Drosophila melanogaster: one gene and its partners. The protein of the gene in region 1 purifies or fractionates together with the protein of each later gene. This does not show direct contact. Each region holds a gene or a part of one and is shown in the gene's direction. Other genes may lie near its edges.

The links.
Region 2: the proteins of S6kII (region 1) and Rbcn-3A purify together in Drosophila melanogaster (affinity purification with mass spectrometry, with the first as the bait; one large-scale study listed by BioGRID). This does not show direct contact.
Region 3: the proteins of S6kII (region 1) and larp purify together in Drosophila melanogaster (affinity purification with mass spectrometry, with the first as the bait; one large-scale study listed by BioGRID). This does not show direct contact.

Annotation. Positions count from the first base shown.
Region 1 is NC_004354.4:22,528,350-22,535,995, forward strand, and holds the start of S6kII (ribosomal protein S6 kinase II), read left to right. Parts: upstream 1-1,614; 5' UTR 1,615-2,001; coding exon 2,002-4,153; intron 4,154-4,506; coding exon 4,507-5,090; 3' UTR 5,091-7,646. Other genes in the region: CG17600 (uncharacterized protein), read left to right, coding at 1-232, 393-863, 921-1,042.
Region 2 is NC_004354.4:6,252,472-6,257,244, reverse strand, and holds the start of Rbcn-3A (Rabconnectin-3A), read left to right. Parts: upstream 1-1,757; 5' UTR 1,758-1,896; coding exon 1,897-1,983; intron 1,984-4,399; coding exon 4,400-4,617; intron 4,618-4,681; coding exon 4,682-4,773. Other genes in the region: Spx (spliceosomal protein on the X), read right to left, coding at 159-1,084, 1,143-1,226, 1,301-1,334.
Region 3 is NT_033777.3:28,333,425-28,338,357, reverse strand, and holds the start of larp (La related protein), read left to right. Parts: upstream 1-1,917; 5' UTR 1,918-2,350; intron 2,351-2,816; exon of another isoform or gene 2,817-3,104; intron 3,105-3,650; 5' UTR 3,651-3,839; coding exon 3,840-4,649; intron 4,650-4,933. Other genes in the region: Gfat2 (Glutamine:fructose-6-phosphate aminotransferase 2), read left to right, coding at 1-488, 691-1,065. UniProt on the Drosophila melanogaster protein: RNA-binding protein that regulates the translation of specific target mRNA species downstream of the mTORC1 complex, in function of growth signals and nutrient availability.

The DNA of each region.
Region 1 (7,646 bases):
AAAACAGCAGGAGGACCAGGAGCAGGCGCGCCAGGATGCCCAAAGTCACATCTATTCGAGTCCTGTCTACGATGAGAAGCCGCCGGCGGTGAAACTCCTATCCGCCGCCCTAGACTTGGATGCCCAAAAATCCCAGGCAAACAATGATGACGATAATAAGCCCAATCTTATTTCGCACCAAGAGTTCAAACAACAGCTGCAGGAAGCTATTGCTTCGCGGCAACCAAACCAGGTAGGTCCTACAAAAAGTCAACCAAAATTAATCAATTTGTATCAGTTGAATCACCTAATAGGGCTAGAGAATCTTTAATTGTCCATTTCTGTACTGCCTTGCTCTCATTAATCCTCAGACAATCGAATATTGTACCAAACACATTTTTTCTTCTGTGCAGGTGAATGGCACTAAGAGTGGGGCCACCACTTTGGACTCCAGGATCAGTCGTAAACAGCGCTGTCCACCGGAATTTATTAAGTACAAGGAGGGCAGCGAGGGTGGAGGCAGTGGCTCATCGCTTTCCTCGAAAGATCGGCGCAAGCGCAAGGCGAGCAATGAATGCTGCTCGGCATTTCCACTGCAAATAGTGTTGGGCACTCTCCAGTTGCTCCTGGCCATATCGCTGGTGGCCCTGGGATCACTTCTGATCGTCCGAGAGGCAGCGCTCTCACTGGCGGGATGCGGCATCTGGACGGGATTGATAGCAGCCGTTACGGGCTCCCTTGGAGTGGTGAGCATGCGCAAAACCCAGACAGCGTTTTTGGCCCTCAGTTTGGTCTGCATCGCCAGCAGCACCCTGGCTCTGGCTATTTCCGGCGTGGGATTGTCAAGGGACCTCAACAGGATGGCGGAGCAAAAGGGTGAACAGGTAAAGCCGGGCTCTTCGCATTGAGGCATGTTTTTTTAATGGTTTCATCCATTCTAGTTCGACTTGATCGATACCAACAGCGAGGTTTCCGCTGCCTGCGGCCTAATTTTTGCCCTGTTTCTTCATTTTGTGGTCAGTATTGTATCCGTCTATCGTTGCGCCCTTCAGATTTGCACTAAGTAAGTAAGCTACTCCTACTACTCCTACTTTTATATATGAAAAGTGGTTGTTGTCCACTTTTGAAGCAATAATAATACTGAATCTATAAGCACAATGTTTTTTTTTTTATTGTTTTTAAAAGCGCTTGTACGATATCCATTAGTTTTTTACCAATTGAATTTGGAATGTTGCGGCTAATATAAGTAAGTAAGTCTGCAAAACCGTTGTATTTATTTAGCAAAGTTTCCGGAAATCAATATAAAAGGGATATAGAAATTTATAATAACGGTTTTTAGACGGTTTACACAAGATAACTTGTTTCGTGACGACGTTTTCGTAATGAATTGGTATTTTTCGCGTTTGGTATATTGCTAGACACGGTCACACGGGCCAAATCATTCTCAAATAAAACTATATTTATATGTTTTTTTTTTTTTAATTGAGTTATATAGACTTTTAAAACCGAAAGAATGTATTAAAAGTGTAAACAAAAATTTGCTGAATACGCACAGTAAAAACATCGGCTGCAAAAAGTAAATCGATGTTTTCGGAAAACTGAAACTATCGATGTAATCGATGGTAACATCGATTTTTTTGCAGCTCTAAAAAAACTTTATTGTGAATGTGTAAATAATAGTGATAAGAAGCAACACAGCTGTGCGGATTGCGAAGCGGATAGTAAAGCAGACGGCGTACGAAACGTGGGCGCATTAGGAAAGCGCTGCTTGTTGGCCGTAGGAGCAGCAGGGAAACCAGAGAAATCCGGAGAGGCAACAGCGCAGTCGACTGCGACGCCCACGCAGCGGAAGTAATAAAAAAGAAAAGTGAAATCGGAAGTAGGGAGAGTTCGGTGGAGGAGGAGCAGCAGGAGGAGTTGGAAACGCAGGGGGAACTCGGGCTCTAGCATTGTGCATCAGGATCTGGAAACAAAGGAACCGCTAGGAGCAGTTGCCTCACAACGCTAGCAGCCACCGAAGTCATGCCGCTGGCCGATTCGCAAAAGGATCTCCGCCAGCAGCCTCAGCAGCAGCAGCAGCAGCAGCATGTGTCCTCCACCAGCAGCAGCAACAATGCGGAGCAGCAATGCAGCAGCAGCGGATTGGGTCTGCAGCTGCGCCAGCGCATGCAAATTACCTCGTCCGGCTGCAGCAGCCTGGCGGTCACGCCCATGGAGCACACGCCCACCGAGGACGATGAGAGTGGCGGAGGCAACAGCGGTGTCACTTCCTCGGTGACCACTGTGACATCATCGCAACGCCGCCAGCAGCTGCAACAGGTGCAACAGCAATCTGCTCTGCAAGCGGCCCTCGAGCAGCATCACATCTCACCAACAGCAGACTTGGATTCCGCTAGGAAAAGGCCGACGCATCGAACCTTGTGCCCGCCGCCAGAACTTATGGAGCTGAGTGATTCCGAGTCCCAGGGAGGCGTGGAAACTGGCGGTAGGAGAGAAGGGGCTACTGGGCGAAGTGCACCTGATTTAGAAGACACCGAGCCCCTATATGAAACAGAAAACGAATTCGAGCTTAAGGAAGTCATCAAGGAGGGTCACGACAAGGCCGATCCTTCCCAGTTCGAGCTCCTACGGGTTCTGGGCGAAGGTAGCTTTGGAAAGGTGTTTCTAGTGCGAAAGATCATAGGCAAAGATGCAGGAACACTCTATGCCATGAAGGTGCTCAAAAAGGCCACCCTAAAAGTAAAAGATCGCGTAAGGAGCACAAATGAACGAAAAATACTAGCGGACGTGGGTCATGCTTTCATCGTACGTCTTCACTATGCCTTCCAAACTCCCGGAAAACTCTACTTGATACTGGATTTTCTTCGTGGCGGTGATCTGTTTACCCGTCTATCCAAAGAAGTAATGTTTACGGAAGAAGATGTCAAGTTCTATTTAGCGGAACTGGCGCTAGCTATGAATCACCTACACACATTGGGCATTATCTACAGGGATCTGAAACCGGAAAATATTCTACTGGACGAGCATGGCCATATAGCCTTGACGGACTTTGGTCTATCCAAGCAGCCTTTGGATGGCTCAAAAACATATAGCTTTTGTGGAACCGTAGAATACATGGCGCCGGAGATCGTGAACCGAAAGGGACACGATTTTGCCGCTGATTGGTGGAGTTTCGGGGTGCTCATGTACGAAATGTTAACGGGGAATTTACCCTTTCATGGCCAAACCCGCCAAGAGACTATGAATCAGATCCTTAGAAGTAAGCTGGGCATGCCGGAGAATTTGTCGCCAGAGGCGCAATCCCTGCTACGTGCTCTCTTCAAAAGAAACCCCCAGAATCGTTTGGGTGCGGGTGCCCAAGGAATTCTGGACATCAAGGCGCACTGCTTTTTTGCCACCATCGACTGGGTGAGATTAGAACGAAAGCAGGTGCGTCCGCCTTTCATACCGGCGGTTAGCCGTGACGATGCCTTTTACTTTGATGTGGAGTACACCTCAAAGTCCCCCAGGGATTCTCCGGGTGGCCCGATCTCCGCATCTGCCCATGAGATCTTCCGCGGGTTCAGCTTTGTGGCTCCTGTCCTTCTGGAAGGTCAGTGTGCTGGCTCGAATATGTGCTCCACCAGCGCCAGTCCTCTGCATAGTATAGCTCCTATTCCTGCTGCTCCAGTGGGAGCCCCTCGAACATTACCTGGTGTTCTTCCCGGAAACTTCCATGCGGAATATAATCTACTGCAAGAACTGGGACGTGGAACCTTTTCAGTTTGTCGGTTGTGCGAGCATCGAGCCTCCAAGAAACATTACGCAGTAAAAGTAATCGAAAAGGCAGCTGTGGCCGCAGCATCCACATCCACTTCTGCCGATTGTTGGGAGGAGGTGGAGATTATGCTGAGGTACGGCAACCACCCAAATATCGTCACTCTGTACTCTGTTTACGAGGATGCGGGGTCCGCATATCTTGTGATGGAGCTGCTTAAGGGTGGCGAGCTTCTCGATCGGATACTTGCCGTGGGCCAGATGTGCGAGAGTGAGGCCAGCGCGGTGTTAAGGACAATTGCATCTGCGGTAGCATATCTCCATGAACATGGCGTGGTCCATCGAGATCTTAAGCCTTCAAATATGATATATGCCAGTATGCGGCAAACTCCCGAGACCCTAAAGCTCTGCGATTTGGGTGAGTGCGGAGCGGAACTAGTTAAATATATTTTATTATAGCCTTGCAGTAAATTTTCCAATTGCTGACAAACATGATTCACTTTAAAAGCTAAACTTTCGTAATTTTTAATTCCTTTAACTATTATTTGTTTTCTAAGTTACTTTGTTATTTGCAATTTTAAAGGTTTCTTTTCTCCAAACAGAAGGTTTTTCATTTTAAGATCTTATTTAGCCAAAGTTCCATCCTATTGCAATTGAAATCATTTGATAATATTTAAATTCAGAAAGCATTTATTTCTGCAAGGCTATATATTTTTCTGTGCGAGTATTTCTTGTTGGTAGAGCAGGAGTAACCTTCCGATTTCCGCTTAGGTTTCGCGAAGCAGCTGCGCGCGGACAACGGCCTCCTGATGACGCCATGCTACACAGCCAATTTTGTGGCTCCCGAGGTTCTAAAGAGACAGGGCTATGACCTGGCTTGCGACATCTGGTCGCTCGGTGTGCTGCTTTACATCATGTTATCCGGCCGGACGCCTTTCGCCAGCACTCCAAATGATTCACCGGACGTAATACTGAAGCGCATCGGATCAGGACAAATTGACTTCACAAGCAGTCGCTGGGCACTGATCAGTGTGCCGGCCAAAGAACTTTTGCGTCAGATGCTACACATAGTACCGGAGAATCGGCCGACGGCGGCGCGAATACTTGAGCACGACTGGCTGCGGGAGCAATTCGCCGGCGGCGTACAGCTTACAGAGTATGCGGTGGCGCCCGGATCCCAACTTTCGCTGGGCGCCCAGCAGCAGCAGCAGAATCACATCTCCATGGCCTTAAGAGGCGCTGTTGATGCCACTTTCCGGGCTATTGCCATACCCCAGGCGGCGAATGTGGGACCCGTAGAACTTTCCATGCTCGCCAAGAGGCGGGCCAAAGATCGAGCCAACCTGCACTCCTAATCCTGGGCGGCTGCATGGTGTCCGCGGCGCCAGGCCAAGCGGCAGATAGTCCGACTACTTTTCCGAATCTATAGTATTCTAATCCAATGCTGCTGTGCCAATCCGCGTCGTCTTGTCAAGGACAATGCGCAGAAGCTTGGTTCACATCCACAAACGCTGGGCAATCCTCGCCAACGCTGCCGCAGCGCCAAGCTGCGTGTGGTTTAGGTTTTGGGGGAATCGGCCTAACCTAAAGTATTTGACAAGTGTTAATTATTTATTTTATATGAAAGCATGCCAATATGCCAAGGCCATAACGCACTGTGCGGGGCATCTATATACACATATATATAACTATACAAATACTGATATACATCTATATATAGCTATTTATATAACGAATCCTAAAGCAAGGGCCTAGAGAGCGCGTGTGAATGTGGCGCCAGGATCATCCCAGATGATTCCTGAAACCACATTATTTATCCCAAACTGGAAATTAAAAAAAAGCCTCTCGCCCAAGTTTACATATTTTTAATTAAATTAATCGTAGCTAAATTTTTCAACATCACCGTGTTATTGTTGCTTAATTAAATTAATTAAAATGAAAAAAAAAATGGAAAAAAGTATTAGCAAAACAAACAAAAATTAAGAATAAAAGCCGCAATCCTTTTATATAATAATAACTTTTTTCGCCAAACTATAAAGGAAGAACAAAGAACCCAAAAAAAACTGTGTAGAAAGATAAGAAAATCAAACCACAAGAGTTTCCACAATTCTTACTTGGAATGTCAATTTGCACAATGAAATATGAAACTAAGCAAAAGATAAACATAACTACCATATTATACAGAATGTGTACATAAAGCGGAAACTGTGCTTTTCGGGTTTATAAGGCAAAGGATATTAGAAAAGAGTATTTTATTAATAATTCCCTAAACAATAAAAACCGACGTTCTTTCCAACACTGCACAAGGGTGCATATTGTTATTTAATTGTAATTAAGAAACGTAAATCCTGCTAACTTGTCTTACAGTCGCGAAACGCACAGTTTAGTTGTAATAACGCCGGGGAAACAGTTGTGACAACATCAAATTGGGTTTCCATTTTGTTTGCTAACGTCTTCCAACAGAAATTATATCAAACAATATACCTTTTTGCGCTGTAACCAGATATAGAAAGTTCCGACTTACCATTGGATGATTTAGAACCGAAACCGCGATATATTCCATCATACTCGTACTGAATACAAATAGGATAGCGTCGTATAAACGACTTGGGTTAATGCAGAGAATTCCATTTGTTTGTGCTAGTTTCTCTAAAAACTGCACGATCATCAGTTCCCAACAACTTGTTTCGACTCTTCGAAGACAATTCCAATTTTGTTGTATTTTTGCCAAGGAAAACTTGTTAAAATTATGCTAGAGGGAAATATACAAAAAAAAAAAAAGAAAATACAAGCAAAGTGGAACGAAATTGAATAAATTATGTAGAAGAGCCATGTGAATCCTTAGAAGCTATGTATGCCACTTGAAAAGCAGAAGTTTCTTGTTTGCGAGCTTGTGTGTGTGCATAAGAGGCTGTGTGTGTGCTTCTTGTAAGTGCATGTGTGTGTGTGCTAAAGGATTATTGTGCTGTGCCACTACTGAACTTACTGCTACCAAAAATAAAACAATAACTTCATATACATATTTACACCACCTAAACAAGGTTAGTAAAACTTAGAAATTTTTTAAAAAAGGATAACATCCCTTGAATAAAACTGTATTTTCGTGGTGTTATTAAAAGGAGTTGGAGGGGGAAAATGGTATGATTATCCTAAAGTACATATATAATTAGCTAGCTGCGGAGGGAAAACAATGTGTACACATTGACATATAATATAGAAAATATTTAAGAAGGATCTTGAGATGAACATTTCGCCTAATAGTTGTCACGATAAACTTTTGCAAAATATGTTGCGTCTACAGCAATGATTTATACTTAATTACCTTGTTTTGAAATGACGACAACCAAATTGAAGGGATACGTCGTTTCCCTGCTTCGTTTTTTAACAGATTCATACACAAATTATAAAACGAAGTTGAGACAGGCAGAAAAAGAATTTTAGTCCACGGGCTGATGAGAAATCTAATCCAGCGATTAGATTAAAACTCATGTATACAAAAGTGGCCTACTATGATAAAAACTGTAATCATTTATCAATAATTCCGAACGGTCTCTTACAAAAATGTTCGGGTTGCACAAAAAGGACAGAGACAACAGATAGTTTAAGCATACAATACAAGCAACCCACTTTAAAGCCAACTCTCGACTAAATTCCCCAAGAACATACATATATATCTTAATCATATATATGAATGCGTGAATATATTTTCTTAGTAGATTTTAACAGCTTCCAGACTATACATACATTCAAATGATTGAATTCCGATATGAATCATTTAATTAATAAACATATTCAACGAAACTGATTCGAAATTATTGTTAAGTTGAATTTTTCAAACCAAGCAGAAGGAACCTAATTGAAAAACAAATAACCAATTCGAATTGTTTCGATCTAATTGGGATATCCAAAAT
Region 2 (4,773 bases), about 16 Mb from region 1:
ATGATGATCTAAATGTCTCCCAGTGGTTTCCCGGTTGTTAAATGCATATTAGAAAGAAGAATGGAAATCTTAACATATCCCAGAGCAGGCTTCATTGATGAATCCTATTGATGTTTATTTCTCGTCTCGTCCAAATTGGTATACACTACACGCTAGACTTAGTACTGGTAGCCGTCGGGTTGATAGGGCCGTGCGTAGGGCGTGGGTGGGAAGGGCACGGGCGGCGGACGCCAGTTGGTGGGCGGTGGTCTGGGCGGAGGAGCAGGCATGCCGGGCGGTGCCCATGCATTTGGTTGCATCATGCGAGGCGGCGGCGGAATGCCCATTGCTGGCGGCAGCGGCGGCTGTCCGCCGGTCATCGGTGGCAACGGAGGCGGCGGTATCGTAGCTGGGAACGGTGCAGGCTGGGGAACGGGCGGCGGCGGTGCTAGCATGCCCATATTGTTATTCGAAACGGGCACCACCGGCGGCGGCGGCGCCATCATGGGTGGCGGCATCATCTGGCCCGGCATCTGGGCCGGGATCTGGCCCGGCATCTGGGGCATCATGGTTTGCACCGGTGCATCGGCGAACAATTGATGCGGCCGGTCTGCATGGGTCGATGGATTCTGGGCGGCCAACAGGCGCTCCGCAGCCGAACCGTGACGCTCGCCCTTGTGATCCTTCTTGAAGGCATAGGACACGGAAATGGGACGGTTGCACAGGTACTGGCCGTTCATGGCGTCCATGGCCGCATCGCTGGCCTCGAAGCTGGCAAAGTTGATGAACGCAAAGCTCTTAGACTTGCCCGTCTCTGGGTCTCGCATGATCTTCGGCGTCTGCAGTATAACGCCGAAGGCGGAGAACGTATCGTACAGCAGCTTCTCGTCCACTTCCACGTCTAGGTTGCCAATGAAGATGTTGGCGCCGACGTCCAGGTTCTTCTGATGCGCCGACGCCTTGTTCACGCGAATGGGCTTGCCGTAAAGCTTGATCATGTTCATGATCTTTATTCCATAGTCGGCGTCTTCCTCGCTGAGGAACTCGACGAATCCATAGCCCTGGTGCATTTGGGTGACACGATCCTTGGGCATGTGTACGTTCACTGCAAGCATGACGATTAGGGAGCTGCTAGGCACTATACATGTGTGTCCGGGACTTACCCACTGGTCCTGCCTGGACAAACAGCTCCCAAAGCAGCGTTTCCGACACCTTGTCGTCAAGACCGCCGGCATAGATGGTGGCATCTGTGGAAGGAACGGAAAAGGCGGGTTAAAGCGTCTCCCAAGTGGTGCAAATGTGGAGTGGAGGTCAAACCCACCTTGGTTGCGTTCAGCAATTGGACCTGCCGCCATTTCGGAGCTATTTTTATAAACAAAACCAAAAACTAATTTTCGGCGTTTTCAACATGCAAAAATGCTCGCAACACAACCCTGAATATCGAAACAGCCTATCGATACCATGAATCGATATATATTCCACGATTTCGTTTTTATTGGCAATCGAAATTGATATCGAAATCGAATCAAATCGAACGGATATTAGAAAAAATACTAAATATAGACGAAGCAGAATAATTAAATATAATTTCAATAGGTTAAAATATTCACCTCTATTTTTTGAAAATAAAATGAAATATTTTAATAATAATATTTTAATTAAATGATAAACAGTTTTTCGGTTAATTGGAGTAACCGTATTTAAATTACTCAGGCGATATTTCGCCTCCCATGCCGTGCCATCCCTAATATCGATAGTTCGATTGGCCGCGCTGGCCAAGAACCCAACTCTAATTTTTATGTAATGTCACTTTGTTGTCGTTTGTTACAAGAAGCAAGGAAAATTCGTGCTAGAAACCAAAGAACCAAGACCCCAATATCCGTGCGCTGTGATGTGATAATCAACTGTGTGTAAATTATGAATTGTCATCAGATTTTGAGCGGCGCTTGCAATGCAGGCGACCGGTGCTTCGCCATTGGCTCCGTGGAAGGAATACCATTTACAGTAAGCACAGAGCCATCCCAATCCGAATCCGGATCGAATTGGGTGAAAATCGGTGGCGGAATGTGCACCATTATCGGCCCAACCAGCCGGACACGCCCCCCAACCCCCCCACGCACACTTGGTTCAAAAGGTTGAACCGTTTCCAATTGGAAACGGGGCATCATCATCACCATCGTCGTCATTCCAACAAGAACCGATCGGAGCACGTCTTTAATGTTTTTATTTACATATTTGCGTGTGTGTGGTGTGCGTGTGTGCGGTGTGTGTGAATGTGTGTTGAATTTTATATCGTTTTTTTTTGCCACACTTGGTGGTCAATTAAAAAATCAAATGCAAATGATGAGATAGAGAACTTTTCGTGTTTGCTGGCTGGCGCTGTGCAAAAATTCGATAACAACAAAGTGTGCAGCTCGAGTGTGTGTGTGTGTATGTTGTGTGGCACAACAAATACAACACAATGTTTGTTTTCACCTGCATTTACATACCTGGCCAGCAATTAATTACATTTTTATTTTTTTAAGGTCAAGTGCTGGCAGTAAACAAGCCGCACGCACACACACACACACACATGCGCCAGTTGCAGTGAGAGTGTGTGCTTGAAAGTATATACGCATGTATATATATATAAGTGCGAGTATGTGTGTGTGTATACCCTTCGATTGGTCAGGTGGCCTTTGATGCCCTAATTTCGCAGCTTGCAGGCTGCCCACCTTCCCCTTCCCACGAACCCTTTCTCTATGGCAGCACCCCCCGCCCCGCAACCCCTTTCGCCAACCCACGTCAATGGCAAATTGGAATTATAAACGGCCATAATAAAAAAACGTGAGCACGCATTTATAATGTGCCTTATTCGATCCCTATACTATATACTACCAAATACTCTTAGCAATCTGGCCATTTTCGTGTCTAAAACCTTTAACGGTAACAGGAAAAAGTTGAAGAGCTCACTATAAACTTCGCTATGTCAACTTCGAGTTTATAAACATTACACCCATTGAGACATGTGTACTATATGTTTACTCAGAATGTTTATCCGATGTAGAGAACAAGGTCTGTGTTTTCCTGCAAAAACCCAAGGAAGCATAATTAACTACTGTGCACATTTTGCCATTCTAATGAGAGGCCCCACGGGGCGTATGTGTACATTATATATATATTCTATATTCTACTATATTCTATTCTGTAATCAGCACCGCCGTTGACACAGTCCCCCGTTCACAGACCGACCACCAACCACCCAACACCCACCCACTGCCCACCGCCTTGCGCCATATCATTTGCCATCATTTCAATTTGTTTAATTTCGAGTGTTTGCATATGTGTGGATGTATGTGTGTATGCATATATTTATTTAGTATATGATCGGCACGAACACACTCCCCTGGCGCCACCTAGCGTTTGGAAGGGGAAACCAAAAATAATAAACTCATTAAAACCGCATTTAAAGTCAAATTTTAATAGTATAGCAATACTACAATAGGATACCGTAAAAAAATCACTGTTTATTTTCAGCAGGTAACAAAGTTTTATATAAAGTAATCTTATCCGCGGGAACACTAATGGGTTGGTAAGCGAAAAGTTCGGAAAACCCTCCATTGAAAAGTATCATCGGTGTGTTTACTTAATGGGTAATATTCTCAGTTAAACGCATAAACCCATCATAAGCTGACATTTAAAGCAATGGGAAAACCGGAAAGCAAAAAGCTAAATATAAACACGACAGAAAAGCAGAGTAGTTGAACCTTTTTATGTCAAAAAGTTAGCAGGTGTGTAGTGTGTAGTGACGAAGTTGTTAATACCCTTGTTTTTATGAAATGATGTTTTTATTCATTAACTAGCTAAATAAGGCTCACATTCCAATATCGCGATAAGCCATTGCAAACAGATTCTCTGTTGATATTCCCCATTTATCGCTATTGTAACTAAACGGGGTATCTGTAATCTCCCGCATCAATGAGCCAATTATAAAGATAAAGCCTGCTGACTCAACCCTTTACACCCGCACTAATGATCCTTTGCCACAGATCGTCATGCGGTAATGTTTTAGAGATAATTAACATGAATAGTGTTTCCACTATAAATAGTGTACCCCCTCCCTAGCCCACTCGAACAGGGTATTCAAATTTCTGGCCACGATAATGAGCATATCAGCGACAGCTCAACAAATAAATCAAACACACTTTAGCTAACCAGGTAACCAAACATGATGTGGCAAGAGCCTTGTCATCAGCCAGCCTGATAAGCCAGTTAACTGGACAGTTGGGGTATTGTTATCGATATAAAGCTATATACCCACCCGCCCTATATACACATAGCCACTCAAAAACAAATAACTGAGAAAACACATACCGATCGTATAACGCTTAGATTAACTGCAGTACTCACAAAATCCCCATTTCGCCCCTCCTATTATCAGGCCTACGCCGCCGGCTGCAATGTGGTCATCCTGGCAAGCACTTTCGAGCGCGTCCAGATCATTCCGGGCGCCAACCATGGCTATGTCAAGATATCCGCCCTGGACTGCAGCACCGATACCGGAAAAATAGCAGCAGCCTATGAGAATAAGATATGCATTTTTGAGCCCACGCCGGTGATTGAGTCGAGCAAACACAATACCCACTTTCTGGATTACAGGTAAGCTAGCGATGGTATTAAGAAGCCCAAAGACATACTAACTTATTTTTTCATACCCCCATAGATGGGTGCAAACGGGCTCCTTCACCAGCCACTCGAACGTGGTGACCCTGTCCTGGAATCTGGAGGGCACCCGCCTCCTCACTGGCGGCACCA
Region 3 (4,933 bases), on another chromosome or scaffold:
CCGTTATGGTGGAACTGGCCTCCGATTTTCTGGACAGAAACACGCCCATTTTCCGGGACGACGTGTGCTTCTTCATCTCCCAATCGGGCGAGACAGCGGACACCCTGATGGCGCTCAGATACTGCAAGCAGCGAGGAGCGCTCATCGTGGGCGTTACCAACACGGTGGGCAGCAGCATCTGCCGCGAGTCGCACTGTGGCGTCCACATCAACGCTGGACCCGAGATCGGAGTGGCCTCCACGAAGGCCTACACCTCCCAGTTCATTTCGCTGGTTATGTTCGCCTTGGTCATGTCGGAGGATCGTCTCTCGCTGCAACAGCGCCGCTTGGAGATCATCGATGGCCTATCGCAGCTGGACGAGCACATTAGGACTGTCCTCAAGCTGAACTCGCAGGTGCAGCAGCTTGCCAAGGAGTTGTACGAGCACAAGTCGCTGCTCATTATGGGCAGGGGCTTCAACTTCGCCACCTGTTTGGAGGGCGCACTGGTAATCCATTTGATAATTTGAGCTATAATTTAATCGAATCTCATTTATGCATCGTAATGCATGCATGGGAACGTAATGATGGAAAATAACCGATGTCAACAATTCACTTAACTTGTTTATTTGCCAAGTGCACTTAAATTAATTATTATGTTTGTCCCACGCTTCATGAGCTGAATTTAATCAATTAACTTGCTCATTGCAGAAAGTCAAGGAGCTGACGTACATGCACAGCGAAGGAATCCTGGCTGGAGAACTGAAACACGGACCACTGGCCCTGGTGGACAAGGAGATGCCCGTGCTGATGATCGTGCTGCGGGATCCGGTGTACACCAAGTGCATGAATGCACTGCAGCAGGTGACGTCCCGCAAGGGCAGACCGATCCTAATCTGCGAGGAGGGCGACAACGAGACCATGTCCTTCTCCACGCGTTCGCTGCAGATCCCGAGGACCGTGGACTGCCTGCAGGGCGTGCTCACGGTGATTCCGCTCCAGCTGCTGTCCTACCACATCGCCGTGCTCCGCGGCTGCGACGTGGACTGCCCCAGGAACCTGGCCAAGTCGGTGACCGTGGAGTAGGCGCCCCAACTATCTGGCTAACTGGCTCGCACCGTCTCAAGAATTCCATTTTAGTATCTGCCTGAGAAAAACAAAACAAACCCTAGCACTTAAGTTAAAATTTTCTGGTATTTTGTCGGATCAAAATCCGAACCCTTAACCCATTTGTGCTCCTTCTGGCTGAAGCCACATATGTTTAACCCCTACATTTGTAGCTGTACTGACCCTTTGTGTTGTGGACCCACTACTTTTTGTGAATGTGCAATTGAAATATAATTATTTCCAGTTTTTCTTTAAAAGTGTTTTGCTGCTTTCAATTAAAAATGGATTGGAAAATGTTTAACCAGTAAATTTGTTTGAAAACGGGAAAAACCAAACAAAGATCTATATGTACCTCACTTTACAAAAAATGCTTATCTGACATTAAACATTTGTTTCAAATGTTTAAAAAACGAGGGCCACGTCACGTTATTGCTTACGTTATGTTAATCACGTTGTAAATTTTAGAAAAAGAAAAATTACATATATATTTAATTCTGATAAAACTAAATAAAAATAAATTCTGATAAAAATAAATGATATTCCGAGCACTTAAGTAGTGTGAAATCGATAAGCCGCATAAATTTGAATGTCCTATTTTCAATTTCAAATCAAGTGGTAAATGGGGAAAAAATAAGTTTGTTCTCGAAAAGTAATTCTTTCTGGAAGATATTTCAAAATCATATTTAAAAACAACATTAAATAAATTAAATCAGTTGCGAGCCGGTTGGGACATCTCTATTAACCGTAGCTATCACATCGGTCGATATCTATCGCAACGCAACGCAAACGAATTGAACAACAACCCTGCTCTTTTTCTTTTGGACCCGTAGAACCACATGTCTGGTAACCGATTTTGATTTTCGTTTCGGCGGTATAATGCTCCAATTAATTGACTAATTGCGGTTAATTGACAAGACAAGTGAACGGCGCAAGTACGGTGCAACCAATAACGCAGCGAGTGTGTGTGCAATTGCGAAAAAACCCGATAAATAATATTCGTAACGTTCTGCCCAGCAGCGCGTGAGTGAGTGCGAGCGAGAGGCAGTGATTCGAGGTGCGTAGTGGTGCGAAAGTGTGTGTGCAAGGAAACCCGCAAAAGCAAAAGCAAAGCAACAATAACAACACACGCACGCACACACACACTTGTGTACGTGTTAACACGCGGAGCGGAAAGTGCGTAGTGAACATACGAAACGTACGAAACAAGAAGTGGGAGAGATAGCGGAATAAAATACAATTCTTGTTTCCATTTCAATCTCCTCTGGTGCGTATTCAAATCAATCTGAACCTTAACTTGTGTATGTGTGTGTGACCGCGTGCATCGTTTTGAAATTCGAGGCGAGCTGCAGTCGAAATCAGCTGTTTTAAAAGGCCCGACCAGGGCGGCACTAACAGCAATGCAGGCCGTTAGCCGAGTGCATTGGATATTGCATAATATTGGGTGAAGCGAAAACAGGGATATTGTGGTAGGCCACAGGGTATAATAAAACCAAATTGTAGCTATAAACGCAGTTTCTTTTATTTGCACCTTTAATTCGCTTCGATTTCCTGTCGTATTACCGGTTACGTTCAACGCCATGCCATTACGTTGTACTCCAGTTTGGCAAGTGGGCAGCTCGCTTTGCGGCAGCCCTGGTCGCTTAGCGTTGTGTTGCTGCTTCCTCTTCCTCTTGTGTGGGGCAAAAATCTAACCTCACTTCTTCTTCTTCTTTGGAACACTGCTGTGTGTGGCTGCTGCATAATAATATAATACCTCTCGATTCACGATTGGTCGTGCCTCGCAACGGATTTTCTCCGCTCGCCCAAACTGCAGTATATAATCGTGCAAAATCCGTGGCAGTAAATTCAATTCGCCGAGGAGCGTGACAGCTGAGGAAAATCGAGAAAACGGCCGCTGGGAGAGGCTTTTCCGATGGCCAGTTCCTAAAAAATCACCGCACTCCTCGGGAGGCTCTTCTGCAGTCCCACAAGAATAGTAATCCCCATTGCGAAAGCCCCAAGTTCAAAGTGCAGTGTATGTGCGTATGTGTGTGTGCTGTAATAGTTGCATTAAGTAAAGATGTAAATATTATTGCAGAAGGGCGAACTTGAGATTAATCGCCGTAATTGAGCAACAAACACCTCGCGTTCGCCCAACTCGCAATCTTGTTGGAAAATCCTAGTAGGCACAGTAAAGCTGGGCTTAGATGGCCATTCTTTAGTTTTAGTAAAGAGGTTTTAGTTTCCATTCCACTCTTTCTTTGCATTGGTATCAGTTTAATTTCAAAAGTCTATTTTTCTACGGCCAATAAGGCCATTAAAACTCGAGATGTTGACTTGAATTTATTAGCTCACTTAAAAGTTTAAGTTAATGCAAATTACTATACAAATTGCATTAGTATTGACCGCAGAATTGCCCTGAATAGTTCTATATGTAAATGACCCAAAACAGTCAAGCTTAGCTATAGTAACACTGCGTGGAAAAGTTATAAAATGACGTAATTGTAGTCTTTGGCCTGGATTTTCCTCTTGTTCCTACCAAACAGGCCTGTGAAAACTAATCCTTCTATTGCCAACCATTTCAGTTTGGAAGCCTATCTCTGGAGCCACCACATCCCGTTGAGCAGGCAAGGAAGCAGACAAGAGTTTCCCCAACCCGACAACGAGGATCAGCCGCTGACGTAGCCGGAGCAGGAGCAGCGAGTGTGCTGCCCACTCTGGAGAGGAAACCGGAGTCAAAGAAACAGCAGGAGTAGCAGCCGCAACTGAGGAGCATGTCCAGCAAGGAGGAGACGCCATCCACGGGAGGTGCCGCTCCTGTGGCCACTGTCGCCGCCTCGGGCAGCGCCACCACTTCCTACGCCAATGTGGTGCAGAACCTGGAGACCAAGAAGTCCGGCACCAGCAACACCACCACCACCACCGCCAGAGCCACCGTGGACAACAAAGAGAACCAGCCCAATCTGAAGAGCTTCAAGTCGTGGAGCGAGGAAGCCGCTGCCGCCGAGGCAGCCGGCGAATCGCCAATCGTCGGCAGCGTTAGCCTAGCCCAGACGGGTGAGAAGCGTGCCGCTGCCTCCGGTGGAGATAACACCGCCGAGAACTCATCGGAATTGGACGACAACAACGACTTCGTGCCGGTACTATCGCATCACCGCCGCGATCGCAAAAAGGCGCGCAAAGAGAAGCCGCGCGATCAGCAGCCGGCCGGAGGACGTGGCGATGGTCAGAAACCCCAGCAGGCTGGTGGCCGCCGCGTCCCCGGATCCTCCGACACCGAACGCAAGTCAGTGCGCCCACGTGCGCCGCGCGGCGGTAGTCCCCGCAAATCGGCAGCTGGAGCTGCTGGCGCAGCCGGATCCAATGCTGGAGCTGTGTCCTCCGCCGTTCCTGGTGGACCGAAAGTACACAAGGATCGCAAGGATACCTCGCCCAGTGCCAGCATCGAGGGAGCCGGCAGCAGCGGCAACGAGGCCAAGTCCGCCGACGGGGATCAGCAGGCGGGCGAGAAAGGCGCCGCTGGAGCAGCTCCGCCGCCCAAGCGATTCATTGCCGCCCCACCGCCCAAGGTCAACGCATGGAAGGTGAGTGATCAAATGATTGAATCTTTAAGTGATTGATTGTATTTTGGGGTATCTTGAATGGTAGGTTCATTAGGATAGGTTTTCATTAGAGTTGTTCAGGCATTGATTGGTATTCTTTGGATATTCCTAATTGGAAATCTTAATATATTCAAAAATCCAGAAGATTTAGAAGTGCACCGGAATAGAATTAGGTACATTTGCATTGACAAAAATTAGTTACTCGAACAAAACATTGGAAAATGCAAATGAAAAGCTTTGCTAAAATATAATCTAGTCAAAAGTCA